Linked DNA regions of Yarrowia lipolytica. The protein of the gene in region 2 purifies or fractionates together with the protein of the main gene of each other region. This does not show direct contact. Links are inferred from orthologs where the notes say so. Each region holds a gene or a part of one and is shown on either strand. Other genes may lie near its edges.

The links.
Region 1: the proteins of YALI1_F11658g (region 2) and YALI1_B11794g purify together in Saccharomyces cerevisiae (affinity purification with mass spectrometry; 5 studies listed by BioGRID). This does not show direct contact. The link is inferred for Yarrowia lipolytica from reciprocal best matches to the Saccharomyces cerevisiae genes HRR25 and TSR1.
Region 3: the proteins of YALI1_F11658g (region 2) and YALI1_E01159g purify together in Saccharomyces cerevisiae (affinity purification with mass spectrometry, with the first as the bait; 3 studies listed by BioGRID). This does not show direct contact. The link is inferred for Yarrowia lipolytica from reciprocal best matches to the Saccharomyces cerevisiae genes HRR25 and DIM1.
Region 4: the proteins of YALI1_F11658g (region 2) and YALI1_C32921g purify together in Saccharomyces cerevisiae (affinity purification with mass spectrometry; 4 studies listed by BioGRID, with this or other methods). This does not show direct contact. The link is inferred for Yarrowia lipolytica from reciprocal best matches to the Saccharomyces cerevisiae genes HRR25 and EDE1.

Annotation. Positions count from the first base shown.
Region 1 is NC_090771.1:1,174,543-1,182,191, forward strand, and holds YALI1_B11794g (uncharacterized protein), read left to right. Parts: upstream 1-4,956; coding exon 4,957-7,101; downstream 7,102-7,649. Other genes in the region: YALI1_B11759g (uncharacterized protein), read right to left, coding at 1,316-1,457, 1,503-2,689; YALI1_B11781g (uncharacterized protein), read left to right, coding at 3,656-4,135.
Region 2 is NC_090775.1:1,162,499-1,170,049, reverse strand, and holds YALI1_F11658g (uncharacterized protein), read left to right. Parts: upstream 1-3,747; coding exon 3,748-3,782; intron 3,783-4,217; coding exon 4,218-5,727; downstream 5,728-7,551. Other genes in the region: YALI1_F11689g (uncharacterized protein), read left to right, coding at 84-107, 1,150-1,545; YALI1_F11635g (uncharacterized protein), read left to right, coding at 6,494-7,551. UniProt on the Saccharomyces cerevisiae protein: Protein kinase which phosphorylates serine and threonine residues. Can use casein as a substrate. Phosphorylates elongator complex member ELP1/IKI3 on 'Ser-1198' and 'Ser-1202' which promotes the tRNA modification function of the complex.
Region 3 is NC_090774.1:113,310-120,068, forward strand, and holds YALI1_E01159g (uncharacterized protein), read right to left. Parts: upstream 2,681-6,759; coding exon 1,727-2,680; downstream 1-1,726. Other genes in the region: YALI1_E01133g (uncharacterized protein), read left to right, coding at 52-1,419; YALI1_E01163g (uncharacterized protein), read left to right, coding at 3,005-3,096, 3,376-3,601; YALI1_E01193g (uncharacterized protein), read right to left, coding at 3,884-6,022. UniProt on the Saccharomyces cerevisiae protein: Specifically dimethylates two adjacent adenosines in the loop of a conserved hairpin near the 3'-end of 18S rRNA in the 40S particle.
Region 4 is NC_090772.1:3,288,676-3,298,161, forward strand, and holds YALI1_C32921g (uncharacterized protein), read left to right. Parts: upstream 1-3,507; coding exon 3,508-7,404; downstream 7,405-9,486. Other genes in the region: YALI1_C32914g (uncharacterized protein), read right to left, coding at 1,619-2,815; YALI1_C32972g (uncharacterized protein), read right to left, coding at 7,738-8,601; YALI1_C32975g (uncharacterized protein), read left to right, coding at 8,848-9,486. UniProt on the Saccharomyces cerevisiae protein: Functions at the internalization step of the clathrin-mediated endocytosis (CME) as an early-acting scaffold protein. Requires clathrin adapter proteins, ENT1/2 and YAP1801/2, for normal spatiotemporal dynamics and viability.

The DNA.
Region 1 (7,649 bases), on a different chromosome or scaffold from region 2:
CCGGTCAGCGAGTCGGCCTCCGAGATACAAAAGAATGACAACTGACAGATCACGTGTCTTGTCGCGGTTCTGGTTTGTCGCGGTTCTGGTTTGTCGCGGTTCTGGTTTGTCCTGATCTGGTCTTGTCGCAGAAGCAATAGCTGCTATACTACACCCTTCTTTTAACGTCATCCCTCGTATCTCATCCAACACTACCTCCTCCAACGTTACACTGCCGAGTCTTGCACCTACTCTCAAGGACCCACCGCGTATCACCACCGCCGATCAGGGGGCAGCCGATAAGACGTTGGGGACACCGTCTGCCGGCATAGCCCAGGCCGTATCGATGAGGTGGATCTGAGACGGGGGTATTCAATGTTTCGTATGTCGATGCAGTACGAGACCGATATTGGTAAACCGTGGATGGTGTATTCGTACAGTACCGGCCATCTTTCAAGTACAGTACATACTTGTACTGTGCTCGTGCCCATACAGCACTTCATCGCACTGTATCGTACAGTATGAATGTCGGATCGGAACCCGATCCACCTCATCGCCCCGAACTGGAATAATTAAACCCTCGCACCCCCGCTGAGACAGAAAAAGAAATTCGTGCTGCCGAAATTGGTCCACCATACGAGGTTGCTACAACACAATAAGCGAGCCAGTGAGCGCTATTTCGGGAGAACCGCGGGGTTGCACCAGGTCATGTGATCTCATCTTCCATGATTCGGTACCGTCACGTGAGTTTTGGCGAAACTCAACTCCCCAATATGGCGTCTATATGGACATGCTAAATGGAGGAGAGATAGGAAGAATACCACATATGGTGCATTACTTGTAGTAGGTAAAGAAAGCTCAAGTAAAGACGGACGCCACCATACAGCACACGGGGGTCAAGAGGCGTCACATACCCCAACAATAAGACACCAGCCGGTCCAAGACCTCCCACGTTCCCCTTGTTAAATCTTTAACAAAATCAAACTATAATGTCAAGTAAATTACAAGATATGCACCACGTCACCCCATTCGATCTTTGAAGATTCCACAGATTCCACTGACATCAGAACACAAGCAGTAGGTCTATTTTCAATGAGATTGGCAATAACACAATTATTGTACCGTACCGTCGCCACTAGTCCCGAGTGGCCACCTTCCATGAGATACCCCATTGTCTTCAAAGAGATCACCTTCAGATGTATCGTCACAACATCACAGGTAACTGAAACAACGCTCAACCGCCTCACACACATACAAATACCCGGCGGTCGCTCCCATATCGGACTCATTACGCCACTACGTCCCACTGTTCGTTCTGTCATCAATAAAAATGCTATTACAATGCTATAAGGTCATCAAGACGTCTATGCCAATCCCTCGCAAACTGTGCGAACCGTTGCAAACGGCTGCAACCAACACCATGAAAGACTCGTACATACTCTGTATGTATCCTATGCTCCAGCTCGAACTCGTAAGCACTCGCTTCGCGCGTACTCTGCGGCTCGTTCGCTTACTGCAGCAACTCGTCTCGGTAATGCTTCTGGAAGTTGTTTCGTCGCAACTCCCATGCATCCTTCCTGTTGGCAACCCGCTTCTCCTCCTTCCAAATCTTCTTCTGCTCTCTGAAAGCAGCAGGGTCTCTGACATCGGGCCGTCGAATGTCCACAGCATTGACAGTGGCTTGGCCGTCTCGAGGCTCGGGCTTGAGAGACTGTTTGTAGTACCGGGCCATGGATCTGTGTCCGATTCGTGCACCGGAGGGCAGAGCCAGCTGGGTGCCGGTCTCGTCGGTATAGAGCATTCCGTCGTCGTACTCGTCGTCGGAGTTGATCTCCTCATCGTCATCCTCCCAGTCCTCATCGTCGTTGGCCACGGCATCAGAAACAGGCAACTTCTTATCATAGGACGAGGTGAAGTCGTAAAAATCTCCCAGCTCGAGCTTCTCGTCCTCAGACTCATAGGGAATTCGCACGTGGCCCTTCATGAGCATGTGCTGTCTCACAGACTCGAGCGATCGGCCCACAAAAGAGCACGACAGACACTCAAAGCCGAGACCGACCTTCTGGCCCAGGTAGGACATGAGCCCGGCGAGATCGGTAAGATACTTCTGCTCGGGAATGTACAGAGAGTACTTTTTGGTCATGTGCTCAACGTTGGCTTCCACGGAGTCGTTATGCACGCCGCACACCACACAGTCCGTGTTGGGGATGGCTCGTCGCAGTGCCAGCTTGTTGATGGTATCTGTGTCGAGATGCTTGACGCTCTGCAGGGTCTCTTCATCGAGATTAAGGTGCTTGAGCTTTGTGTTGAGGTCTTCAGATAGGGAAGAAGACACATCCGAAGACTCGTCTCCGTTTGTGGCAGTCTCGTGGATGGCATCGCCCTCAGTGGGAGTATCAACGCCCGAGCCGTAGCCCAGAGAAAACTCAGACGCCTGGGACTCGGTGGGGGATGAGGGTCGCACGACTCGTCGGGCCATCCGCTCCTGGTACTTCATCTCCTTCTTTGTGATCTGCTTCTGTCGTCGCTCGGGAACAGCCTCGGACTGCTGGAGCACCTTGGACGCAAACACGTTGGCAGCGATGGGCAGCAGACCGGCCACCTTTCGCTTGAGATTGTATCTGTGCCAGTCCGTCTTCATGTGTTCACGCTGCGTTTCCGAGTTGGGAAACTGCTGAACACACGTGTTGCATGTGTATGTTGTTGACATGGTCGTTGAAGTATTTCTGTCTTGTCGTAAAAAAATTGTGTTGGTGGAACACTGCTAAGTCATGAGAAGATAGCCAAGTCTATATAAGAGATACCATGCAAAAAATTCAGAGTATCTAAACCTAGTTGCAAACCTTATGCAAGTATGATCGCAAGTGTGATTCTGGAGCAACCAAGATATGAGGGGGATAGCGCGGACTTGTCAACACAAGAGTGATACCAGAGTGACCGTCTCGCCTCTCCGAGTCGATCGGTGGTTTCAGATTGTTCTTAGCTTCCCCACACACCGAAATGTACCTGAGCCACTCTCTCCGCCTTGATCTACGTCTCACCCATCTTCTAGATGATTCCTAACAGCATAGAAACTGCAAGTGTGACTAGAAAAGAGCATCGGAGACGGCTGAAGTCCATGGTGAGTTCCGAATGGACTCTATGGGATCGATAGAGTTGTTGATACTAGTATTTCAAACGGAGTGTGGCTGAAACATCCCATATGCACGGCTGGAAGGTGGGATACAGTGGAGGGAGGGAGGGGGAGCGAGGTGTTGGCTATCTGAGCGTTTACTCCTGCTACTGTCCACTCTGAAGATCTACAGCCAGATGCTACAGTATAAAGGCTGTATGTAGTTTCGCTGTCTGCTTTTTGTATGCGCAAATACCGATATGTACTTGTAGAAAACATTCTAGCCCGAATCCAAGTCCGTGATATCAACGGAAATCAAAAGATTTCAAGCGATAATGACCCTTTGACCTATCAGGCAACCGCCAAATCATTTACAGTGTCTACCGGTATTCTGTTCTACAGTTTCTATCCTCTCCATTGCTTCTCTATCCACTACTTGTAGATCCCTCCACCACTACTCGGACGAACAGAGCTTCCAGATGGAACAAGAAGGAAACACGGACTTTTTACCAAGAATGAAGCACTCTATTCAAGAAAGAAACACTCCGTTTAAAGGTCTTGGAGATGCTAAAGCTCCTATGTACGGAGTATGTACTTGTACGCTTCTTCACGCCAGTCTTAAGTCGAGATAATACTTGTACCAGTCCGCCCAGCCAAAATCCCGCCTCAAGCACCGGCTACAAATGTGCAAGTAGTCTGACAACTGCCCGGTATGATGTCCGTCTCTCCATCATCTCCGTCACCGTCAAACCCCCAGCACTTCCCCAGTGGTCCTGCCGCTTCGAAAGAAGTACTAGTAATGTACGTACAGCAGGAGATCCCGTGATGCAGACTAGGATACGAATACGAGTATGTACATCTCTTGTACTGGGCTTGTATATACACAGAAAGGTACAAGTACAAGTAGCATCAAGTTGCCACATGAAGCACCTTTCTACAGTCGGTCTACAGTCTACAGTCATCGTCGGCTACGCTCAGGATTCGCTCAGTGACATAGATCTACTACGCTCGTCGACTAGTCGAAGAATAATTCATTTTTATTGATAAATACTCATGAGAGACTTATCGGAACTTGGTGAAACCAATGTCAGCAGCCTTCTCTCGGAAGGACTGTCGGCAGAGGTTGAGGCCGTACTTTCGGATAACAGCGTTCTGGTTGTTGGTGATTCGACACTTTCGACCGCCCTTACCGTAGTGTCGGGGGTGGGAGAACCAAATGTTTTCGTGAGCCATCTTAGTTAGTAAATGTGTGTGTTTGAATCTGGTGTTTTACGATGAAGCCAGCGGATCGGAAATCAACCACCTTCATATAGAGAAGGAACCGGCAGATTTTTGCAGTCAGAGTTCCGGTGGCAAATGGTGGCAAATGCGGGACTCAGACATTGGTGGGGGACACACACACGAATCATGTCATGATGCTGTTCACGACCAACGACAAAATTCACACAATCCCACCAGCCATGCCCGTGTTGACCTCGTCGTTCCGGCAGCAAATTCCCGAACGCTCGTTCATCGTCGTTTCGTCGGTTTTCACCTCGCGTTCCCTCAATCCCTATCGCTTTCAGTACCCACCTTGAATATCTGTCGTGGTTTTGGTGTCAAAGAGAAGTTTCAGAAAATCGATAAATGCTCCCAGCAGGACTGCAAACTCTGCGTTGGGAAATTCACGTGACTAGGGTTTAAAAAAGTAGGGTTAATTGAGAAGTTGTGGGTTCGATTCCCAACGGTGGCCATTGTCGTCAGTTCGATTCCAGGCACCGTCAAAACTGCCATAAAATAAACTTCTAAAGCTTAAAAATATTCGTGCATGTGCAGCCAAAATTTCGACCCTCTATTCTTCACATACGACGACATTGGATAACGAAATGCACTCACATCGATCCAGTAAAAAGTCGCAGAAGCCATTCAAGTCCAAGCATGCGTCCAAGGGCTCGATCAAGGCGTTGAACAAGGGCAAGATCGAAAAGGCGTCTGCCGGAAACAAGGCAGTCAAGACTATGGGCAAATGGGACCGGCGGAATCAGAAGGACCAGATTCGGGCTGCCAAAATGGTCGAACTGGCAACGGACCGTAAGCTGTTTGACGGCAAGAGCGGTGCCCCCAAGATTGTCACTGTTGTGGGCATGAGCGAGGACGTTGACGTGAATGGGCTGGTGTGCAAGATGATGGGTCTTGAATCTCTGCAGTCCAAAATCAGCACACACGAAGTCGAGCGATTCAAGCAGAAGTTCACGGTGATCACCCCGTCGTTGGACAACTTTCTGGAGGTTTTGGACGCTGCCCGAATCGCCGATTTTGTCATCCTGGCCTTCTCTCCTGTCGCTGCCTTTAACGACTCGGAGTACATTCTCAAGTGTGTTGCTGAGCAGGGAGTGAGTAATGTCATCTCTGTAGTCACAGAGACCGGAATGCTCACCGACAAGAAGCGCGTCGAGCGAATCGACGAGATCAAGACCTTTTCCGACTACTTTTTCCCCCAGGACAAGATTTTCGATATTGAGAACGCCACCGACTGTGCCAACCTGGTGCGAAACATTGCGCAGAAATTCCCCAAGGGTGTCAACTGGCGTGATCAGCGTGCTTTTGTGCTGGCTGATAACGTCCAGGAGGTTGACGGCCAGGTGTGCGTTTCAGGCGTTGTTCGAGGCAAGGGTTTCAATCTTCTGAGAACTGTTCATCTTCCCGGATACGGCGATTTCAAGATCGCCAAAGCTGAGGTGTTGAAGCATGGACAGGCCGAGTTGGTCATTCCCGGTGAGGACGTTTTGGCCAAGAATGACGGTGACGATGAAGATATGGACATGGAGGAGGATGACGTCATGGAAGAAGAAGAAGAAATCCAAGACCAGCAACTGGGCGTAAAAGTCGACGGGCATCATTACTTCCCTGACACGGCGCGAGAAGCCATGCAGGAAAAGTACGCCAAGCGCCGAGTCCCCAAGGGCACGTCTGAGCAGCAGGCCAAGTGGCTCATTGACGAGACTCTCATCAACTCTGACGACGAGTTTGAGGATGAGCAGATGGAGGAAGATGAAGTTGATATGGATGCTGAAGATGGCGCTCACGTTGAATTTGACATGGACGAGGAAACACGTCAGTTGGAGGAATACAAGAGCCTCCGAGAAGAGCTCGATTTCCCTGATGAAGTCGAACTCAAGCCTGGCGAGTCAGCCAAGGAGAGATTCGCAAAGTACCGAGGAATGAAGTCGCTTCGAAACTGGGATGCCTCTCAGGATGACTACCCCGAGGAGTACAAGAATTGCGTCACCTTCAACTACAACGCCATGAAGAACCGGGTTCTCAAGGACTCCACAGACCTGCAGCCAGGACAATACGTCAAGCTTTACATTGAGGCTCCCGTCAGCATTGTGTCCGAGGCCCAGGAACACGCAGACTCGCCGTTTGTTGTCTACGGACTGCACAAGTACGAGTCGGACCAGGCCGTGTGTCATGTGACTATGAACCCCTGTTTTGACCAGGAAGAGACAGCTCCCATCAAGTCTAAGGACGAGCTCATTTTGCAGCTTGGACCTCGACGACTGGTTGTAAACCCTCTCTACGGAACCGAGTCTACCATTGCCAAGTTTGACCGGTTCTTGACCCGGCCCTGTATGGCCACATACATTGGACCTGCCACCTTTGGCAATGTTCCTGCCCTGTGGTTCCGAAAGTCGGAAAACGGCGCGATGGAGCTAGTTGGAACCGGCTCGTTCGATTCCACCGACCCCCGCAAGATGCTCATCAAACGGGCCGTGCTCACCGGCCATCCCTTCAAGATCCACAAGAAGCTCGTCACCATCAGATACATGTTTTTCAACCCCGAAGACATCAACTGGTTCAAGGCCGTGCCGCTCTTTACCAAGATGGGCCGATCGGGCTTTATCAAAATGTCTCTAGGTACTCATGGATACATGAAGGCTACTTTCGACCAGCATCTTAACGGAATGGACACCGTCGCTATGGCTCTATACAAGAGAGTGTGGCCAAAGGTTGCCAGAGAGTTGGAGTAGACAATTATTAAATGCATTAACAGTTCAATTAGCAGTCCAGTTGCTCGTAGAGAGTTGAACGGCCACTACTGCACACTCAGCACTGTAGCATTCAGGTACATGCCCTGGTAGAGGGATAGAGATAGGATGAAGGGTAGTTTTCATGGGGTGATTTATGGAGTTTTTCAAGATGAGCACAACCATCTTTACACCCAGTCAGTACTCTGAAAGCTGGATTGTTCAAGTACAATCACCCAAGTAAAAAACCATGGTTGGGTTTTCAGAAAATGTCAAAAAAATGTCACATTTGGCCATGTTCTCGACTCAAGAAAGGGATTCAGGACACAAAAAGTAATCTAGTACTGATTTTATACCCACCAGTGTTCTTCTCATGTCTCTGGCATGCCTGGAAGTTGTGGATTGAGCCCCAGTACAACTTCTGGCATAACTAATTTCCAACTAAATTTAATGAAGGTTGATTGCAAATTACCAGTAGTAAAAAAAAAACAAACCAAAAAACAAACAAACAACAGTATGAATACCCAATACACATTCGAGAGAAACAGCGC
Region 2 (7,551 bases):
TAATATAAATACTGTAGCACCTCCATCTCCACCCTCCCCATATTTATTGCCCTGGCTCTAAACTAAGCATCACTACAACAACAATGTCCGCCACCGAAACCACCGAGGTGAGTATCTCCCGAGTTGCTTAACGACGACTTCCCCCACCACAGTGTACAGAGCTCCGGCCCCGACAACGCCCCTGGCGACTTTGTGTCCAGTTGAAGGACCGTTTGCCGAGTCTGCGGCCTTCTGAGACAGCCTCCGGCTGTGAATTCAGCTCCTGGAGTCCCCCTCAGAACCAACCGCTTCTCAGTAATGCGCCTGTCAACTGTGTCACAAACGCTTGCCCAGACTTTTAGCCCCCGATACACATGCACGCCACCGACTGTCCGGGTTCCCGCACAAGCCCCAAACATGTGTTTCTCCTCGTCACAAACCGCCTGAGATTGCCTCATGATATTATCGCCATGGACCCACGCCCGCGGGAATCGGAACGACTCAGCCCATGCACGCGGCTGCTCTCAGCCTCACACGCGCCCAAAAGTGATGTACAGTTACACTCCCAACCTTGGGTGCAATTGCATTACGTGCATGAGTCAGCCGCAGCCTGCCGGTCGAGCCTATCCGTTGTGTGTGTGCCCTGGTCCATGTGATATTTTCCCTCAGCTGCAGTGTTATGCCCTTGCATTACCTCTTTCATCCTCTCCCTCCACCCCTGGGAGCCACCCGTGGCACCAACAGCCGTTTTTGCCACCACATGACTAGCACCAACCTTTGTTCTGACATCGCATGACCTTTATGCAGCATTGGGACAAGAGCGTTGAGCTAATTTACCCAAAAATGAAGAAAAACGGCGATCACAGGGCAAAGGCAAAAATGCCGGCTGCATGCGGCTTTGACATGCGAAACCAGTGTGGAAAATAGGAAATAGGGGCCCGGCCCAGCATGCAGATGGAAACTGCACGCGCTGACGACCGACGATGATTTAGAGTTGAGGAGGTGAGCGCACTACTGTGGGTCTATTTTTAGATGCGCACCAGACAGAGCTCCATCTGTCTGGAAACGCGTGGAAGCTCCGTGCGCAAGGGTCCTAGTGAGGCCTTTTTCTGCCGTTTTCTGGGAGAGCATCCCAGGACTCGCGCCAAATACGAATGATTACTAACCCAGAACACCACTTCCAACTTCACCTCCAACCTTCCCGACGTGTCTAAGATCACTGACGCCGCCAAGGAGGCTCAGGGCGAGGTCCAGGAGATTGCCAAGGACGCCGCCGCCGACGCCAAGGACGCCGTGACCCAGGCCGAGAACAAGATCAACGAGATTACCGGCTCTGTTTCCAAGGAGGCCACTGAGGCCACCGATGCCGCCAAGGAGGAGGCTAAGGACGTTGAGGCCAAGGCCACCGACGCTGCTGAGGAGGCTCAGACCGAGGCCAAGGACGCTGAGGCTAAGGCTGCCGACAAGGCTGACGAGGTTGCCGAGGACGTCAAGGCCAAGAAGCCCAACGCCCTCAAGCGACTGTCCATGTCCTTCAAGAAGTTCGTCAAGAACGTCACCGCCTAAGCTTGTCTGTCTCGTTTCTGACATATCTGGTTTTGGGTTTTATCTTTTGCCCGCTCATCTGTTTTCGTCATGGTTAATTTTGGCAGGTGAGTGTGGTCCGGTCACTTCATTGTAACATCACGCACATTAATAATACATGTCTCATAGGGGTTATTTGTAACAAGTACGCTACGAGTACAAGTAAATAATGCTAAATACTGTAGCACAAAGTGGACAGTGGCTGTCATGGTCATGGTGTTAGTGTGGCTTAATTTTCGCATTGTGTTAATTACGTGCAGCATATCGATCTAAATATAGATTTTGCGAGAGATGTGTTGTGAATGAGCACATTGCACATTGTGTACACATACCTGCACAACTGTACTTGTACTCACTGTAATAATAATTGTCTAACGAGCGGCACAAGCGTGTCACTGTGTTGATTAACTTCTGGTATGCAGGCCCTCGCGTGTGTGTGAGAGATAAGGAGGTCCTTTTTGAATTTGGCGAGTCACGAGAATTAGATTTTTCGCAGCTCGTTTTTTGCTCTACCAGTAGCTGGTGATGGTCGTGTCTCCCACCGGTGGTTGGAATACAGATGTCGTGTTCATGTCCACGTTTGCTTGTTCCGTTTTTTTCCGGTGCCCAGCTGGTGGGGTCTCTTGAAAGACGGTATAATATCTCGAGGGTGATTAAACATGATACTGTAGTTAGTGTAAGGCACTTGGGGGTGTCAAGTGTAATGGCAGGTTAAAAGTCCATGGTGCCGTCCAATAATTAGTTAACACGTATGATCTGACATGATCTGAGACGATCTAAGAGCTGAGAGCATGTTGTGAGCATGAGGGGAGGATGATCATGTGGATTGGATCAGGCGTGTATGGGTAGATATATTTCAGCGTTTTTAATTTCAGCGACTGTTGGTATTTGACTGGTGGTATTTGACTGTTTTATTTTATTCGTCTGGATAATATATAGTGTTGTACAGCAGGTGAATAATTAGTGTAATTTCCCGTTTGAGAAAGCATTTTATTAATAGGGACTAACAGCGAAGGGATACAGAACAGTAGTTACAGCCTAGTAGCTACCAGTTAATGTACTTGTACTTGTACTTGTGCGAGTAATTAATAAATATTGGCACTAGGGCGACTGTCCATCATCAGTCCATGGGCCAGGACTGTAGCCATATGGATACTCATATATGTATCGTATGTACTGGAGACACCGCAAAACAAGCTTGGCTCCCGTCATTACCCTCCCGAACAATGTTACATTTGATTTGGGCAGTTCTTGTGCATTTTGACGGTCGTGTCGCCGCATGTCCGTGTCGGCTGCTGCAAGATATAGATTTTGTGGTGCGTAATTCCTGCTGACCCTCTCTTCCGATCTAGATTGATTCAGGCGGGGATTACTAAGCATTATACCTGGGGAGGGGCTCTCCGTCTTCGGTGTCTTAATATATATCATCTTTGTCACTTGTATGTTCTGTTTGTAAGCTACCAAGGTTATTCTAGGGGGACTGTATTCCTTGCAAGCACTATACTATAGCTACAGTACATACGAGTGAATGTACCAGTGATACTGGCACCAATATGCAGTGTAGAGAGAGTGCACTGTAAGGTGAGTGTGCGTGGAGAGAGCGTGACAAGAGTTAAGGGGGGTTTGTGGGAGCGGCTTTTGGAGGGGAAAAATCGGTTTTTTTGCCCCAATGAAAATGCCCAGATGGCAACCACGGCCAACAGACACAAATAGGGACCCGGCGCCTCCCAGATAACCTCTGAACAGTCATCAAACTGCCCAATACACATTCCAGGCAGTAGTCGGCGGGTTTTGCCTTTTTTGCTCTTGTACCCTAACCCTTCCCAACCTGATTTTTCCCCCTCTCCCACCACCCATCGTCGTTGAGAAACGTAGCCCCTACCACATACAACCACCCTCTCGACCCCGGACATAACACCCCGAGAGCGAGCGGCACCAATCTCCACTAACCAAAGTTTGGCCGGCCCAACAAGCGACACTTACTCCGGCGCCCACGTCACCTGATTAGAGTACTTTATTTCTTGTTTTCTCTGGACACGCTTCAATAAACAAAATCTACCAGACTCTACTTTCTAGCGACCACAAACATCCGCACCCACATTCCAAAATCAACAACTTGTTTCGACACAAGCACAAGCTCCAAATCGCCCCTCACGGACCAAGACATTCCCCCGACCGTCGACCATGTCTTCTAGCAACTCGGTTCCGTCGCTTCTACAGTGAGTATTGTCTGCCGCGACAGGGCAGCTGTCGTGATGCGGTATGAGATGAGGAGGGTGATGAATGACAAAAGGAGATGGATGGTGATGGGTGACAAGGGTGGCAGTTGATGTGATGATGATGGTGATGGTGATGACATGCTGACGATGACATGCTACGCTGTTGAGGTGTCAGTCTCTCGCCGCTGCTATCGTCGTGGCTGTCCACACCCACCATCTCATGACACTTGACTTATGTGACTGCATCATGTGCGATGTGATATTATAGATGTCACCGGCAACGAATGGTCTGGCGTTGCACTTTCCTCCGCGGAGCAGCCGTGGAACCACCCGATGCATCCCCCCCACGCTTTGCTGCTGCATCAAATTGCTCGCACTATTGCTCGCACGATCGCCCATCCCACACATCAACTAATCACACACATACTAACCCAGCGACGTGAGAATTGCAAACAAATTCCAGATCCGGCGAAAAATCGGAAGCGGATCGTTCGGCGACATTTACTTGGGCGTCAACATCATTTCAGGCGAAGAGGTGGCCATCAAGCTGGAAAACATCTTCTCTAAACACCCACAATTAGAGTACGAGGCGCGGGTGTACAAGACTCTGGCCGGCGGCACCGGCATCCCCTTCATCCGATGGTTTGGCTCACAGAATGAGTACAATGCGTTGGTGATGGATCTGCTGGGCCCCTCGCTCGAGGACCTGTTCAACTTTTGCGAGCGACGATTCTCGTACAAGACGGTGGTTCTTCTCGCCGACCAGCTCATCACCCGACTCGAATATCTGCATGCCAAGTCGTTCATCCACCGAGACGTCAAGCCCGATAACTTCCTCATGGGCATCGGCCGCCGAGGCAACCAGGTCAACATTATAGATTTTGGCCTGGCTAAGCGATTCCGAGACCCCCGAACCCATTTGCATATTCCCTACCGTGAGAACAAGAACCTGACGGGCACGGCGCGTTATGCCAGCATCAACACGCATCTGGGCGTGGAGCAGTCGCGTCGAGATGACCTCGAGTCGTTGGCATACGTGCTCATCTACTTTATGCGTGGCCAGCTCCCGTGGCAGGGTCTCAAGGCAGTAACCAAGAAGCAGAAGTACGACCGGATCATGGAGAAGAAGATGACCACCAGCACAGACACGCTCACCAAGGGCCTGCCCAACGAGTTTGCCATTTTCTTGTCATACTCGCGATCGTTGCGATTCGAGGACCGACCAGACTACATTTATCTGCGTCGCCTCATGAAGGACTTCTTCATCCGATCCAACTACCGATACGACTACGTGTTCGACTGGACCGTGTTCCGATACAGAAAGGTCATCAACAGCATGGGAGGCCGAGAGGGAGCCCAGCAGTCGCAGCTCACAGCCGGCCAGGGTCAGGACGAGGACCCCAACAAGCAGCAGCAGCAGCAGCGGGACTCCGCTTCTCCTGCCGCCGCCGGTGCTTCTCAGGGAGCCTCCAACTCGCAGGTGAGTCTGCAACCTCAGCAGGCTCCCCGAGCCGGTGGCGAGGCTCTGGCAGCAGGTGCCCAGGGCCAGGGTGTGCCTCCCCAGCAGGGCATGCGAGCCAAGACTCCATCCCAGCGGCCAGATCTCAAGACCCGAATTGGAGACTGGGACATTCCTCCCCCTTTGCGACTTTTTGACATTGAGAACCAGCAGCTCGATTACTACGACGACAAGAAGGCAGATACCGATCAGTCCGACTGGCGAACACGGCTACGACGGGAGCAGCAGCGCATCCAGGGTAGCCCTACCAGCCAGGGTAACAGCGGCGCTGCCGGCTCAGGCACCGCTCCCGGTGGGCCTCAGCAGGGCGTTCCCCAGCAACAACAGCAGCAGCCACAGCAACCGCTGGGACAGTTTGGACAGCCCGGTGCATCGGCTCCTCCTGGACAAGGTCACGACGACTATGGCGCTACTCCCTGGATCTAGCGGAGTTGGCATGAGTGTGTGACTGAACCAAAATCTAGTAAGTAATAATGTGTCATGAGTTAGAAGGTGACGGCTATGTAATTAAGTGATTATATTTAGCGAAGACGCGGGTGGTAATGTTGTACTCACGGTACCTTTACGAGTATAGTATGTACTTACAACTACGGTTGTACCAACTTGTACTTATTGCTGATGTTCGGATGAAGGGGTGTGTGTGAAGTGTTCGGCTATATGGCTCGGCTCATTGGGAGGACTGTGAAAGTTGATTTTTCAACAAAAGAGAAATCGACACGTTTCAAATAACTTTGGCGTGGAAGGCGTTGGTATGTATGGAACAGAACACACGAGTACCGAGATTTACCAATAATTATTCTGTCATTTTCACGTGATCCAAACGGACTCAGGTCAGGTGTGACATTTGGCGCTCCGGCTACCCCACTTTGGGTGATAATATGCATGCAAGCGGGTTGAGTGTATGTGGATCCATCCTGTGCCAGACGGTGGGATTATGCTGGCTTATATGTGGTATATTTCTGAAGGTTTCCCAGGCTAGAGAGCATTATTTGACATTGATTATTCTCCTGGATGGTCCCTTTTTCGTCTCTAGACGCCGGCTCGCGTAGTTTGCCGAGTTTGCACTGCTTTCATTTCGGCTGTACCTGTCTTTGCCGATGGTGCATGAGGGGTGCATCAAGGTTCGCAAGTACTACAAGTAGTAGATATCTCGGGATCGAACAAACCATCATCTCTTCACTGAACAGACAACATGCCCAAGAATCTCAATACTCGATATGGTGACGAGCTGCACTCGTACTACTCCGGCAACCCTCTTAACCGGCTGTCGTGGCTGCGGGAGGACTATGCCTTTCTGGACAAGGTGCTCCATTCGAGCTACACCAAGTTCATTGTTCTGGACGGACTGTGTCCCCTGTTGATGAAGATTCCCAAGGAGAAGCGGGAGGGCCGGCAGAGTCACGACGTTGTCTATGTTGGCTATGAAGACGTCAAGACCATTGTTGGCGAACCCTTTGCCAAATCCGAGGCTGACTTCATTTCCGGCTGGTCGTCCGAACGAGACGCCGTGGGACGAGGACGAGCGGCTCTGGTCTTCCTGGGAATTCGAGAAGAGGCCGAGGGAGGCGATCCGGCAATTTCCGAGACCACCAACGGCCGGTTTCACGGAGTGGCGTACTTTGCTGTCGATGTTACGGTCACACAGATCCGAAACGACGACCTGGCTGAGCGAGTTCGAAAGGTCGGAAACGAGCTCAAGGACAAGCATCCCGGCTCCGACTACACCTCGCCACAGATCCAGGCTCGTCTGGGAGGACCCGTGGACCCGTCTGCGTTTGCCCAGGCCCGATGTTACTTGGACTGGATCGAGCGAAACCAGTTCTGTGGAGGATGTGGACATAAGACCATGGTGATTAACGGTGGCAACAAACTTGTGTGTCCCGAGAAGGACAATGGTGTGGAATGTAAGGACTGTCCTACTCGGGGACGTATCACCTACCTGTCATTCCCTCGAACAGACTGCTGTGTGATCATGCTGGTGGTTAACAAGGAAGGAGACAAAATCCTGCTGGGACGGTCCAAGCGGTTCCCTCCGGGCATGTACTCGTGTCTGGCCGGCTTCATTGAGCCAGCCGAGTCTCTGGAAGATGCTGTGCGAAGAGAGGTGTTTGAGGAGTCTGGAGTCAAGGCCAAACGGGTGGTTGTCTATGGCACCCAGCCCTGGCCCTTCCCCGGCAACATTATGGTCGGATGCATTGCTCAGGCCGATCCTGATGACCCCACTTCCGAAGAAATCAACCTGGGTCTGGA
Region 3 (6,759 bases), on a different chromosome or scaffold from region 2:
AGAGCCTTTCGCTTCATTCTCTTCTTTTTCTACGACACAGCCATCTCCACAATGAGACTGGTTTCATTTCTCCCATTATTGCTGATCCACACGACAGCAGCGACGTCAGCAGATACCACAGCAGTAGATTTGTCAGACTTCTACGCAGGAACAAATCCTAGTGCACTTGATTCGGCTATTTCAGTGCCCGAGGGAAATTACAAGCCCAAACACGTGGTTCACATTTCCAGACGACGTCTGATATGCAGAACCAACGAAGATACAGGAGAAGAAATCTGCAAGGTGGACAATTCCGACCCCCAGGAATCAATCATCGAAGAAGTTGATTGTTCCAAGAAGGAGAGAAACACCAATGTTGGTCTCAGAGTAGGTGCTCTGTTTGCTGTGCTCGGTACTTCTGCTCTGGGCGTGTTCCCTCCAGTGCTGGCTGAATCCATCTGGAGAATCAATCTCGAAACTCTCCCTATGACCTTCATCAAACAGTTTGGCACAGGTGTCGTTCTGTCCACTGCATTCGTTCATCTAGGAGCTGAGGCTACCGAAGAGTTCAACAACCCCTGCATCGGAGAGGTTGAGTACAAGCCTACTCCCCTGGCCTTTGTGCTGGCTGGCCTCTTCATCTCCTTCCTCATTGAATACCTCGGAGCCCGTCTTTTGAGATGGAGAGCAAACACCCTAGAGGCTCGACGAAACGAGAACCAAGACTGCGAGGAGACCAAGTGCGGACATGATCACGACCACGGCCATATTATTGACAACACTGGAGGAGACACTGAGGACTCTGACAATGGGGGAGAACCCGTTCAAGAGATTGTCGAAGATGTTATTGAAAAGGCTCCCTCTCGTCTCTCTTCCTCTTCTGTCAGAAGAAGTACTACTCAGACAACTGCTCCCCCTCCTCCTATCGCCGGCGGATGCCACTCCCACGGTCTCATTGACCCCACTGATAAGTTTTCCGTCTGGATTATGGAGGCAGGTATCATTTTCCACTCTGTTCTGGTTGGAGTCACCGTCTCTCTTGCTGAGGAGGACACCTTCATCACCTTGTTTATTGCCATTCTGTTCCACCAAATGTTCGAGGGTGTTGGTCTAGGGTCGCGTATTGCTGGCCTGAAGGAGTCTCGCCTCATTTCCAAGTGCCTCATGTGCTTGTGGTTCTCCATCATCACCCCCATCGGCATGGCCATTGGTCTTGGCGTGCTTGACCACTTTGAAGAGAACCCTACCACTCTGTGGGCTCTCGGTAGTATCGACGGTCTCTGTTGCGGAGTTTTGGTGTACGCTGGTGTTGTAGAGATGTTAGGCTTTGACTGGCTGTTTGGTGACCTCCAAGATGCTCCTCCTCTTCGAGTCTGCGTTGGCCTTGTCGGGCTCACTCTCGGAATGCTGCTCATGTCCCTGGTTGGACACTGGGCCTAACACTGTCGTCATACATGTGTTACAGGTATATGACGAATAAAATAAAAAACATAGATATTTAATTGCATGAATAGTTCATTGGAAGTGATGAGTGTAGGTCAATTTGTAATTATGTGATATCATCATACACCCCAACTAACATACTGTAATGTACGCTACCCTGAGTACAGTACAAGTACAATAACATTAGTTCAGCGGTACAGTGAAAACCGTTTATTCAATAAATAGCGCCGGAGGTCGGCTATGTCGTAAGATTCTCCTTTCTTCTAACCTTTTTTGTGTGTACAGTAACGTAATATCGTACCTTTTAGGCAAAGTAGATGCCAGCTTTGTGGAACTCATTCAGCAGAGTGAGAAACTCGGTCTGGTCACACTTTGCGGATCGCATTTCTCCGATGCCGGTGTCGGTGAGAATCTTGTTGATCTTCTGCTTGACAACGTCAGAGAGGTTGGATCCCTCAGGAATGATCTCGCCCTGGGTGGAGAGCCAGGTCTGGTAGTTCTTCTCGAGAACTGCCAGAACAGCGCTGGTCTTGAAGCCGGCGTTGATAGTCTTGTTCTTTCGAACGAAACAGACTCGCAGAAGACCATCCCACTCGTTGAAGTCGATAGGAGGCCGGGGGTTCTTGACCTCAATCTTGACGACCGAAGACTCAACATTGGGAGGAGGTCGAAAGTTACCTCGGCCGACCTTCATGACGTGAGAAACCTTGGCCCACATCTGCACATTGACAGACAGTCGGCAGTACAGAGAATCACCGGGTCGAGCCAGAAGACGCATGGCAAACTCGTGCTGGAACATCAGCACTGACACTCGCGGGGGTCGAGGCTGGTTCAGCAGCTTGAAAACCAGGGGAGAAGAAATCTGGTAAGGTGTGTTGGAAATGCAAACGTCAAAGTAAGGAAGCTCTGTCTTAATACAGTCTCCCAGCATGATTTCCAGTTTCTTCTGCTCAGGCTTGCCCTGCACTCGCTTGGTCAGCTCGGCAGCCATTCGAGGATCCATCTCCACAGCAATCACCTTTCGAGCCTTCTCGAGAATTCGAACAGTCAGGTTACCAGTACCGGGACCGACCTCCAGAACGGTATCACTGGGCTTAATGTCGGACTTGTCGACAATACCCTGGGCCACCAGAGGGTTTTTAAGAATATGCTGACCGAGATCAGTGTTCATTTTGAAGACGGCAGTCTTTCGCTGCTCGCCGCCTGCAGACTCCCTCTGGGCGCCTCCGGAGAACTTCTTTGCTGGTGCCTTGGCCATTTTCTTATGCTGTTGTATAGTGGTTTGTGAACTGAAAAAAAAGATCCAAAATTTATTTTCGATTCATGCATGCAGAAAAAGCTAACTGGCATGGCACTGAGCATGCACAAAGAATCGCCCCCAGAAGTGCCTTAATAATCAAAGAAGATTGTTTTGAGCGTTTCCTTTGCAAACACCCGATTTTGTTAGAATGGCATACTTTTAATCAGCCCTTCCCCAAACATCAAGTTCACAATGTAACTCCAACTAACTCTTAACCTATCAGAATGTAGAGATATGCAAGATTGTGACATGGTAGAATAAGCATCACATCAACACAATACAATGGCCAAGAGAATCAGCCGACCCACAAATCTGAAGAGCAAACCACGACCTCTGCCAGTCGACATGCTGGTTCCTGCCGACAAGGCTCGAGGGTGAGTTGAAGGAGGGAGGTGCAATAAGAGAGCAGTATTGATGATCTGGAGTGTACACAGACCTTGCCACAGCGACACAGATACGATGAACGTACCGCTCTAGAGAACCAACACTAGAGCTTGAAGCTTTTTTGTTTACTGGTTTTTGCCTCACAGTCGCGCCATAGGATCTTGGTATATAGACGCTACCACAGTCTTGTGATACACTGCGGTACACTTGTGCTAAGCTTGGGTGAACTGTGTTTTGACATTGCTCTCATTATTCGACTTCTAACACAGATTCAAGATGATCCTGCTGTCGCTCCCTTTTGTGGTCCTCTCGTCAGTCATTCTCTACAAGCGTCTATACATGGGAGAGGACAAGCGCGTTCAGATTGGTGAACAGACAGAGGAGGGCATCCGATGGTTCACGCCTGAGGAGATTAAGAAGAAGGACGAAGAAAAGATCTTCACCAAGGTCTTTGGAAATGAAGACTGGCTCAAGAACAGCAGGACTAACAACTAATCCACCCACATATTCGTCTGTATTCTGTATATAATATATATTTTTCGATGCTATAGAAATGGTGTGTATACGTAGCACTGCCAGAGCGCTTTGAAAACTGTAGAATTGAAAAAAGATCCATATCCCTCGGTACTGTACCTGTACCTCATCAACAATCCTCCTGGTCAAAGGCTTTGTGTGATTTGTAGTCAAGGGGACGACCTCCTGTCACACTTAGAATCAAAGCCTTAAGCTACGTCCCCACCATAGGCCACGGTCAACGCGATCTATGGTTGAGAATTCCTACCGGACCACTGGTTTGGCGATACGCACGCCAGCGTTGGCAAGAGACATACCATCACGAGAAGAAGCACCTCTAATGCCTTCCCGAGACACTCGTCCAGAGTGGTACGAGTTGTATCCTTCTCTTGACACTGCTCGAGGAGTACTGGGAGGCATCAGAGATTGACGCTTCACAGGTGAAGGGAGAAAGGAGCTTCGGCGACTGTTGCTGCTTGTGCTGGACTCGCTACGTCGCCTAGAGGCGTCGGTCAGGACGGGGGTGTCGCTAACCGACCGCATACCTGAAAGACCGGCAGCTCCAGTTCCTGAGTAACTCAGACGAGGCTTTCGAGTAGGAGTAGCCAAGGGGGTCGCGTAGGAGCCTAGTCTAGATGACGATCGGCTGGCAGGCCGGTTTGGAGAAGGTAGGGGAATGAGAGACTGTCTGCTTGAACCGTTAGGCTGAAGAGAAGGAGTCTCACCTAGCTTCACTGTAGAAGTAGAACCGATAGATGATCCAAAAGACGTATCGGAACAAGATGATAGCGAGCAGATGGATGCTGAATCGGGAGTGGAAGGTTTGCTGCCCAGTTGGGGGTATCTGTGGAGCAGTCTGTTTGGAGAGTTAGTAACGGGAATGAAAGATTTAGTTGTCTTGAGACTTCTAAACTTGTTGAAAATGGCAGCATTGGGAATGGGTCCGCTGTTGCAGCCACACTTTGAGTCCTTAGAGTCCCTCAAAGTGGTCCCTTCGCCTAGAGAAGCTGTAGGAGACTCAATAGACTCCAACGTCTCCATGATGACACTCATATCATGCAACGGAGACTTCTTGTGTGAACTGGTGGATGGAGGCAACTGAATGTCTTTGAGAGGTACCACTGGCTCCGATGCCTCCAGTGCGTCTGAGTCAGGTGTAGACACAATCACTGACGAAGAAGAAGAGTTGGATAAATCAGAAGAGGATATGTTTGCATAGTCGTTTCGCTCCTGAAGCTGTTTGTCGCTTTCAATTTGCTGGTTCAATTTGCTGCTGTCGATATCTCGAAGTACGTGATTCTCGCTGGTTGAGTGTCGTTTGATCACAGGCTTGGGTGAGAATCTGTCCAGAGACACAACTCGCATATGCAGTCTTCTATTGACGGGAAACTGGGGTGCGAATGACAGCCGTGGCGAGATGGCTCCATGATCCGATATCTCTGTGGTTTCAGAGCACTCGGAGAAGATTGACGAGTTGGTAGACAGTCTCTTAGTCGATAGAACCTTAACTTCCTCCACAAACATGTTCTTGTCGTTGCAGACTCGCTGGAGAACAGTCAGTAATGCCGCGTCGAGATCTTCACCGAGCTGGTCGATGGCCAACTGCAGAATCGAAGACCATTTCTTGGTCGACAACTCCTCATTCACCAATGCAAACTCCCCCTTAAGATTGTGCCACTGCTGTTCCAGATTGGTCCAGTTCATGTTCACCAGAGATGAAAATGTCGGGAAAATGGGCTCACATCTGGAAGAGAACTGGGCCACCCTCTCGGGAATGAAACCGAGAGACACAGTCAGCGGCTTAATCTTGGTATCGTTGAGTTGACAGAAGGTCTCCTTGATACTTTTGTCCTGACGAGTCAACCAAGGGTATACTTCTTTGGCCACATGGTCGAGTTGGGATGCAGAAATCTGCCCTGTGAAACTAGACTCGAGCCGTTTCTCCTTGATCTCAAAGACCGTGCTCATGCATTGACTAATTTCCGCGTCGATATGTCCAATCACTTGTTCACACAGCTCAGTGTACTCAATAGCCACTTCCATCTGGTGACACAGTGTCGCGATTCCCTCCAACCTTTCTTTGTCGTGATCTGTATCCTCCGCATTGTGTCCATCATTGTTGTCGATATCATCCTCGTTCCCTGCTGCTAATACAACCAGCCTTGGTGTGTCTTTGACCAATGCCACAAGCCTTGGTAACAGGTCTGTATGTTCCAAAAACCACTCTCCTTCAGAGGAGCTATTCTTAAGAACTGGTTCCAGCGTGGCCTTGCGCTGATTGACGAACTCATGCAAGCCAATCGATGATGGTCTAACATAGTCGATATCCCAAGTTTCCCATCCATTCAGTCGAACAAAATCGTCTCTCTGCTTCTCGAGATTGGAAGCACACGTGGATAGCATGTTATAAGTGTTTGTGTCGTGCAATTACCATGAAACTGGCTGTCGATAGCGTACTATGGCTGAAGTACGCTTGCTATTGCTATTACTTGTCGAGTGTCAAGTGTCGAGTGGAGTGTCGAGTGTTTGTTTAACGTGTGTGTGTAGTGTCTGTGTGGTGGAGCGCTGTCCGAGTGGTGTTGCAATGTCCTAGTGGCCTGAAATGCCGTGCTGCCCTCTTATGTTCACCCTGTGTTATGACACGTCTGATAGATATGTGGTTGAGATATCAGTTGGTATGTAAACCAGCTCTCTGGTAACGTTATGTACGCCAGCACTTGGAGTGCATGTTTCATGCTTCATTGCATTCTGCCTCTGGGACAATCTAAACATACGAAACCTTGGAAGGGAATATGTAAACATAGCGAACACAAAACATAGCAATTGTGTATGCAGGTCAGTGTCAAGTACATGAATAATAATATTGAATCCCAACCTCAAACACATGAAACAGACCCACATATCACCATCTATTTACCTTGGGTATCACACACTATGTATAGCTGACTGCTCATGCTGTACAGTGCGGCTGCCTTTACAGTCTCCCCGGCAACGGACCTTAGGCTGTATCACTTAAAGTTGAGTCTAAAAATCGCCCACAAAGAAGTCAAGAATGTTCCGGTTGACAATAATATTCTGCCATATGCCCCATCCCCTTCACCCTGCCTAAGAAAGTACAGCCCCAAACGCGCTGGGCGGTT
Region 4 (9,486 bases), on a different chromosome or scaffold from region 2:
TAAGAATTGGTAGTGTAAGTGTAGAATCAATTTGCTATCTCGGGTAGGTCGGTATATATATACTTGTGGTATTTCACTGCACATGGGGTGCATCTTTACGTTGTGTGGGGTACATGAACAAACCAGTTTAGCCTGCCTCGGCTCATGCATTCGGGAGACAGCCTTTGTGAAAACGTGACTTGGGGAAATCCGGGGATAAGCCCCACATGATTTGCAAGTCTACGACATACACGCTTGGTTCTTGGTCGCTGTGTCGAGCCGGAATCATGCCATATGCGATCAGCGTTGAACTGTATCCCTGATACGAAACCTAGCCAATACCGAGGGTTACCAATAGCACATGTCTACTGTACGATACTTGCACCGATAGATCCGGTTCCGGCAGCTGAGACCAATTGAAGCAATTTCGGGTACATCTGTAAAGTCGACATTTTGCCCATGTCTCTTCCAGTTGGACTTGGCCAGTCCTTGACGAAAATGCTCACAATGGCCCGAGCCGCATGCTCCCAACCTTATCACAAAAGTCAGGCGGTTTATCAGGCCACAAGCAGGTCAATCAGGTCATAACCTTGCTGGTTTATATACCCCAGAATTGCCACTGCCGAGGCCGAAACAAAACCAGGGGAATCCACGTGCTTATGGGGACGATTGTGATTTCTACATCGTGACTTTGCTTTGAGTGACGACGTGGTGGTCGTGCGGGGCCAGAGTCTCCACCTCTTCTGATGTGTATCTCGCTGTTATCGGAAATAAGGATCTTGGCATTGCTCTGAATTTACGCGGATCGATATCAGCCCGGGGCTACTAGTACGACATACTGGAGCTCTGAATTTGTCGTTTCAATGCCAAACATCTCAATCGAACTACCCACCAATCACAATCACAATCACAATCAAATAACCCGGAGAATCCCCTTGGAAATCTCCATTTCCCCAGACCAACATGGTTTCGGCACTCCAGGCCATGGCCTGGTTTTTGAAACCGTTGAAAGCCAACCTAAAGACGACTGAGGAAATGTCCGATGCCCTAACCTCGAGGAAGCCGGGGACGAACTGCTCACCTTAGCGAAGATACAAGCATTCTTGGGAGTCCACCATTTGATAGCTGCCACCCAATAAAGCACCATCGGAGCCGTGTATACATATTGCGGGGTAAATTCCTGATGGTTTGAGTCCTTTTCAGGTACAGTACCGTATGTACTCCTTGTGTACAGTATGTAGCCGGCACTAAGATCACCTTCAATGTTATTGGTGAGGCTCAACGTTTGTGCCGAAGCCGGGAGAATTGCCAATAGACTATGTCACGTACGAGTACCGGTACAAGTACAGTAAGGCGAATGTGATGCTTTCACATGTCTATTCGCACCGTATTGAATTGAAGTTATAGATGGTATGGTGTGGTGTGATCCTTGAGGTATTAGGGGTTTGTACGTCATGGGTACCGAATGCCTGTAGCGGTACAGTACATGTACATTACCTGTATGTGATCCCATACAGATGGTACGTAATGTGTTTTTGCACTTTCGGCTAAAGTGGTGTCGTCTGACTTTGTGTATTTTTACACATGCTCCTGTGTTTGCTTTCCTACTCCGTGTTTAATCTGGAGATTTTGATGCAGCCTATGTAGTTCCATTAGTGCCTCCTAGGCGAAGAAGCATGCTCTTCGAGAAACAAAAACAAACGAGTTCGTCCTCGTAGAGCATGATGCAATTGACGTCACGGTCGTGGATGATATGTGACATGGAGTCGCTCTCCAAATCGAATAGAACCTGAGACCCCGCAAAGCTCTTGATCAACAGGTACTTTCCAAAGCTATATGTCTTGGACGCAGCGTAATGCACGGGGTTGTTGATGATGCGACACAGATATGTTTTTCCCTCTTCAGCATTGCAGTATAGCTGGAAGAGCTTCATGTCCTTGCACAGATAAAGATACTCACCATGCACAGCAAAATTGTGTGGAATGTCGTAAGGGTGGCAGTCAAATAGAGGATGCACAGTGTCGGAGTCTCGACCCACCACAAATAGCTTTGTGGCCTGCGGTCTTAGCGACATGAGACTGGTGGTTGTGAAGAAGGCGTGTCCATGGACGATGTGCAATCTGATGTCTACTAACTTGCGACCGGCGAAAGGTAGTCTCAGAAGTCTGTCACCTCTCAGTAAGAAGACCTGTCCTTGACGTCTCAATAGGGCAAACAATTTGCCGCCCACCACCGTCTGGTGAGAAATGTCTCCTTCCGGAACATCAAATTTCTGACCTGTGTAGGTTTTCAGCCCTCCTTCAACTACCTCGGGATCACCTAGCAAGTATCCGTCCATGACCTTTTCAGCTCTCAAAGTCTGGCAATTCACTCTTGTTACCTGCGGTTCAGTCACATCACTGCTCATAGAAGGCGACATGTAAATGCTTCCATCCCCTTCTGGTGACACCCGAAACATGGCGCTATCCAATTGCGACCGTTGGGTCTCAAACATGACCTCTCCGTCTGGATCAACCGCCTCTTCGTGTTCAAACGCAATGTCGAGATCGGCCTTGAATTGTACCGAGGGAAACGCTGCGAGAATCTCGTTGGTGTCGTAGCTATTGATTTCCGTATATGACTGCGGTTTTGTCACTAAGTACCGTGCTGTGGCCTCCCAGGTCTCTTTAATGGGCTCTGTGAGCCAGGGACATATGCTGGTGGCTGCTGCCTTGAAAAGCTGGTGTTCCAAAATGGCTTGTCGGAAGGCCGAGCATGTTTCACTGACGTTGATGAGTGACTGTGTATCCAGCCGAGCGAATATTTGCACACTGAGTTCGGTTGGAAGACGAGACATTTGGCACTCTCACGATAATGTCACGATTCTGAGAAAAAAGGTAGCGCCGCTTGCATGAACTTCATGCATGGTTATCGTGCTGAGTGAGACTAACAGATGAGGGGCGTCTGAGCGGTGTTGGGTGCCTAAACTAGGTGTGTTTACACGACGTGGACTAAAAGCGGTTGGCGATTAATAATGGGGCAATTGTCCATCTATATAAGCGGAATCTCTGTCCATAGGAGGAAATAAAGTCCAATGACCCAAAGCAGACAAACGGCTTCCGATTCGGTCGGCTCGGAAATTAGTGTTTATCTCAAAATATGAAGGCTGCTGGAGCCCTATTCATGTGCTCTCAAATATCCACCGTACAGTGTCATAAAGCGCAAAAAACAAAACAAAAATAACAGATACAAGTATCTCAAATATTTAACGATGTGAAAATTGATATACTTGCACAAACCCCCGGGAAATATCACTGTACACCTCCTCAAACACAACCTATCCACGGCACTAGCTACCCCCCACTCCCGTTAAAGTTCACGAGGGATCATTTTGAGGAGATAGGCTGTGACGTTTGCCATACAGCCACTCCCAACACGTGACCTACAGTTCATGACGCTGCAGATGCCAAGTCTCTCCCCGTAAACACCGCAACCACAGCCACGGCCAAGTGAGTACCCCTGAAAGGACCATTGAGGTCAGGTGACGCCATGAGTAATTCACTAACACAGATGTCAATCAACCTCACGCCGGAAGAAAAAAAGCTCTACGGTTCGCTTTTCAAGACCGCCGACAAGGAGAGTGTCGGCATCGTCACCGGAGAAGACGCCAAGGTGCTGTTCCAGAAGTCGTCGTTGTCGCCTGCGATTCTCGGCGAGATCTGGCAACTGTCCGACACGGAAAACTCGGGCTTTCTCAATCAGATTGGCTTCTCCACAGCTCTTCGACTGATTGGCCATGCTCAGTCCGGAGCTCGAGTGTCCGCTCAACTCCGAGACACGCCTGGTCCTCTGCCCAAGTTTCAGGGCATTAATCTGATAGAAAATCAGCGGGTGGCCTCTCCAGGCAATGCCGCTTCTCCTATCCAGCATCGAGTCGCTTCTCCTATGCAACAGGGTACTGGTGCTCAAGGAGGCCTTCCCCCTCTGAGCCCCCAAGATAAGGCCCGGTTCGCTCAGCTGTTCTCTCAGCACGCCCACAACGGTCTTGTCGAGGGTTCTGCGGCCCGAGACATTTTCCTCAAGGCCCGTCTCCCCCACGAGACTCTGGGCCAGATTTGGAACCTGGTGGACTCCCAGAATCGAGGTTCTCTCGACCAAGGAGAGTTCATTGCCGCCATGCACCTTATTCAGAGCTCCATGAACGGCTCCATGCCCCAGGTCCCCGCCCAGCTGCCCCATGGATACATTGAGAGCGTGCGTCCCCAGTCTGCCCGAATTTCATCTGCCAGTTCCGTCATGTCCACGGGCTCCAACGCTGCAGGTCCCGGCGTCATCAGACAGTACACCGGCCAGCAGATTGGTCAGGGCAACGACTGGAGCATTTCTCCCCAGGAACGACAGCGGTACGATGGTATTTTTGGTGCTCTCGACAAGAAAAAGACGGGTCTGATCGGTGCCGATGCCGTGGTGCCCTTCCTGACCACCTCACGACTCCCTGAAGCCACTCTGGCCCAGGTGTGGGATCTCGCTGATTTCCATAACCGTGGCGAGTTTGGCCGAGCCGAGTTTGCCATCGCCATGCACCTGGTTCAGCAGAACATTGGCGGTCGAGAACTGCCCCAGCAGCTGCCCGAGTCCCTTCTTAAGGAGGTTCAAGGTCAACCCCAGCAGCAGCAGCAGCAGCAGCAGCAGCAGCGAGTCCAATCGCCTCCCATCTCACAGCCCAAGCCTGCGCCCCCCAAGTCTGCTCTCAACGACGATCTGGTCCAGCTCAACGACCTGTTTTCGTCGCCTCCACCACAGCAGAAGCAGTTTGTGCCCTCGTCCGACTTTGGTCAGAAGATCAACAAGTCCGTCGAGGCTCCTCAGTCACCCATCAAGTCGCCTATCCAGGCCCCCGTCCAGGTGCCTACTCCTCAGCAGATCCCTACTCCTACTACCCAAGGCAACCCTGGCCCTCCTGTTGCTCCTCGAAACATCCACTCTGACGATTTGTTGTCTTCCAACTCGGAGTTGTCTAACAAGTTGTCCACTGCGTCTACCGACTTTGCCAATCTGTCGAACCAGATCGGCTCTTTGACGTCCCAGACAACTACCATCAAGGACCAGCGAGCCAAGGCCGAGAGCGAGCTGGCCGCCATGCAGACGAAAAAGAAGGACATTGAGGCGAAACTCGCCCAGCTGCGAACCCTGTACGAGACCGAGGTCGCCAAGGTCAAGCAGGTCGAGCAGGAACTCACTGCCGCCAAGGCTGATACTGACAAGGTACAGCAGGAGTTTTCTATCGTCGACGCGTCTTTGCACGCTGTCCAGTCGCAGCACCAGCAATTGTTGTCCGCTTTTGAGGCCGACAAGGCCAAGAACGCAGAGATCAAGGAAAACATTCGGTTGGCCAACGAGGAGGTCAACAAGACAAAGGAGCTGCTGGCCACGGCCGAAAAGGAGGCGAAACACCAAAAGAACCTGCTGTCCATCAATGACAAGCAGCGAAGTGCGTTGATGGAGGAGCATGCCAAGATGCAGGCCCAGATTGACGCCCATAATGCTGAGGTTGAGGCTGCAAAGCGGGAGCTTGAGCGACGAGCCCAGGAACCCGCTCCCGTGGCTCCCGACATGTCTCGGATGCAGGCCATGCCTCAGGTCCAGCCTCGAGCTGTTCCTGCTCCTGAACATCGGGCGTCTCCTAACAACCCTTTCTTTTCTGTTGCGGGAGGTGCGGCTCTTGGAGCAGCTACTGCTGGTGTTGCTCATGCTGTCCACGGTGTTGGAAACGCTGCTCAGGGCGCTGGCAACGCTGCTGCTGCTGGACCTCCCCCTGTTTCTTTTGGCGGACAACCCCAGACCCAACCCAAGATGGACGATTTCGACGAGGCTTTCAGCCAGATGGACGCTTCACCCTCGCAGGCTCCTTCTCAGGCTCCCTCCGACACCCCCATCTCGTCTGTTCAGTCTGATTTCAATGAGTACCAACCTGAGGCTGCAGGTTTCACTCTGCCTCTCGCACGACCACATTCTTCCACCTCTTCTGTCCAGAACAACGCTCCTCTGTCCGTTCGAGGCGAGAACTTTAGCCGACCCGACTCTCCTGTGTCCAACATCACCCGTCTGAGCGACTCCACTGCCCCCATTCCCTTTGAAGGTTCTCGAGAGCACGATGAGGTGGTTAAGACAGCTAACTCTGGTCTGACCGGTGATACTATCGAAGCTCATGCTTCGCACCCCAGCATCGCCTCCAAGGAGACTGTTTCTGAGCCTCAGAAGCCGGACGTTGATGGATTGACCGCTCAGTTCAAGAGCACTGAGCCTTTCCCTGAACAGCCCTTTGTCCAGCCTTTTGGTTCCAACCCCGCTTCTCAGCCTGCTCCTTTCAACCCCCCTGCCCAGTTCACTAGCGAGCAGCCTCACCCCGAGACCAACGCTGCGCTCGAGCAGTTCACCGACAAGGCCGTTTCGGACCAGCCCGAGTTTGAGAAGGCCGCCGAGCCCTTCCCCGACCAGCCGTTTGCCCAGCCTTTTGGCCCTAACCCTACGCAGCTGGAGGAGGACTCTGGCAACGAGTCATTCGAGTTTGTGTCTGCTGACGAGAACGAGCACTCTATCAACGAGATGCCCCGTCGAGACAAGGGCAAGGCTGTGGTTGACGACGACTCTTCTGACGATGACGAGCTGGAGGAGATTGGGGTCAACCGGTACAAAAACTACCAGCCCAAGGAGGTGCACCATGACGATACTACGTCGGACGTGGTTACTCCCCAGCACGAGATTACTCAGCCTACTTTTGCCCCTGCTGTTGACACTGCTCCTGGTCACTTCCCCGACCAGACTGCTGTTCACGATACTGCCCCTGGTCATTTCCCTGAGCCAGCTGCCGCCCCAGCCTCTTCTCAGGGCTTTGCTGCTCCCACACAAGCATACCCCTCTGCTGCCGAGGAGAAGGCTGCTGCTGCTGCTGCGTCCAACAATGACAAGGAGCTGCCCCCCAACCCACCCACATATGACGAGAGCGAAGGCCCCGGCTCTCCTCATCATGGTGGCTCCACTAACGGCTTCTTCGGTAACCAGCATGCGCCTGCTGCATCTGCTAACGACGACTTTGACGACGCGTTTGCCGATCTTGAGGACACCAACGTGGAGGCCAACAACTCGATGGACCAGTCGCAGTACAGCACCGACTTTAACAATGCGTTTGACGACATGAACCAGGCTCCTGCGCCCGCTAATCCTCCTGGAAACGACGAGTGGGAGCAGATCTTCGCCGGTATGTCTTCCGGCCCTGCTCCAGTCAGTGCTCCCTCTGCTGCTCCCGTTAGAGCATCTTCTCCTCGATCTCGAGCTGTTCAGGAGCTGACCGGAATGGGTTTCTCTGAGGAGAAGGCCAAGCGGGCGCTGCAGAAGCACAAATACAACGTTGCCGAGGCCACTAATTACCTTTTGGACCAGAGCTGATCTCTTTTTATGATGATATGTAAGTAATTCATTAATGTTTAAATGTATTATGTGATTATAAAAAATGCAGTACTTTCACCGTAGCGAGTAGTGATGATGGTGGAATTTACTGTAGACTACAACTACGGTATGTACTCATACAATACTTTAAGTAGCTACCTGTAGCTTCTGGTTGCACGGCATGGACCACATTCTGTGAGACTGTGACCTTTATGGTCAGATAGTCCAATAATGCCGTATCTGCCGCTTCTATGTTACGTTTTGAAGCTGTACGTCATCTGTTGTTGCTAAACGTGGAACAAATAAATAATCTATTAGTACAGTTCACCCCTCCTATAATGCCTTCCAACTTTCGTACAGTTCTGCCCGCTCAGGCATCTCCTGAGTAGCAGCTGTGGCCTTTGAAATATCCGATGTCACCTTGTGCAACTTGTCGAGCGATGTATGGACTTGGTCGTTGTTTTCCTTGATCTTTTGTCGGTATTCATCATTCTCCTTCTTGACTGTCTGTGCCAGCTGTTTGAGCTTTTTGATTCGTGCGAGTTTAGTTTCCCGTAGATGGCTCTTGATGATTTGATCTGGCGTCAGTCTATCGACATGGATAGGCAGATCTGTGTTTGAATTCATTCTGAGTCTGGCGTCTTTGACCAATTGATCCAACTGGGCCAGTTTCTCCGGGAGATGTCGTTCATCGAAGATCGCGTCGAATTCCGTTTGTACTGAGTCCGTCCACGCCTTGCAGATCTGCTTAAGGGCTTCTCTGAGTGCCTCCTGACCAGCAGGAGTCTTTGCAATGCTTGGATAACACGCCGCCACTCGTTTGTAAGTGAGCGACTTGACTGCATGGGCCAGTGCTGTGGACGAGGATGTGACTAAACGTCTGTAACGTGCTGATTGGGGGATTGCACGTGTATTGGCTGTTGTGGTTGTTTGTCCCTCGGTCGCTTTTGTTGTTTGTGTTTCGTTCACTGTTGTTATTCGTCCTTCGCTCGTCGCTTGTGATTCACTGGCTTGTGTCTGCCTCTGTCCCTCCCCTGTGTGTGTCTTCATGGATGTCGCTTCCACTTCAGCTACACTTATCTCCATGGTTTCTGGGTCAGGTGTTGATGTAGACAGTGTCTCGGATTTCTGCGTCTCAGTCTCCTGAACAGATTGTGTCTTTTTCGTGTGTTGTGTCCCGTCTTTTTCCATGTCCATATCCTTCTCCGTGTCTTGTTGTTTTGACGTGTTTTATATCTGCCGCGTTTTATTTACCAGCCTTGCACAATCTGACGCGTTGCATTGAGCGACTTAATGTGCAACCCCACGACTCGAACCCCCAACGCCAAATGCTGTACAGTAGCTTCTTTCATCTCCAACCCAAACCCTGCCCCCGTGCAGTTAGCGTCTGTATGACGTACATACAAACCTCCACACCTAGATCGATCACCCCCATACCACGCAATGTCAGACGTCACCGCTCTCATTGCTAGAGCCGATAAAAAGATGACCTCCTCCGGAGGCATGTTCTCATTCATGAGCGGCGGCTCCTCGACCCGATTCGAAGAAGCAGCAGACCTCTACACCGAGGCCGCAAACCAGTACAAGTTACAGCGTAACGGAAAGCTTGCTGGAGAGTGCTTTGAGAAGGCTGCTGACGCACAACTACAGTCCGAGAGCAAGGACGAGGCCGCCAACTCGCTGCTCGAGGCTTACAAATCATACCGGTCCAACTCACCCCAGGAGGCCGCCAAGTGTCTGGAGAAGGCCATTCAGTTCTTCACTACACGTGGTCAGTTCCGACGAGGTGCCAATTACAAGATGGAGCTGGGAGAGCTGTACGAGAAGGAGCTGGAGGACATTCCCAAGGCCATGGAGGCCTACACAGATGCCGGAGACTGGTTTTCCGAGGACCGAGCAGAGACTCTATCTTCCAAGGCATACCTCAAGGTGGCGGAACTGTCTGCCGAGAACGACGATCTGTTCAAGGCCATTGAAATGTTCGAGATGGTTGCCCGACGAAACCTCAATTCCAACATCATGAAGTGGTCGCTCAAGGAGTATTTGTTCAAGGCTGGCCTGTGTCGAATTGCTGCGGATCCT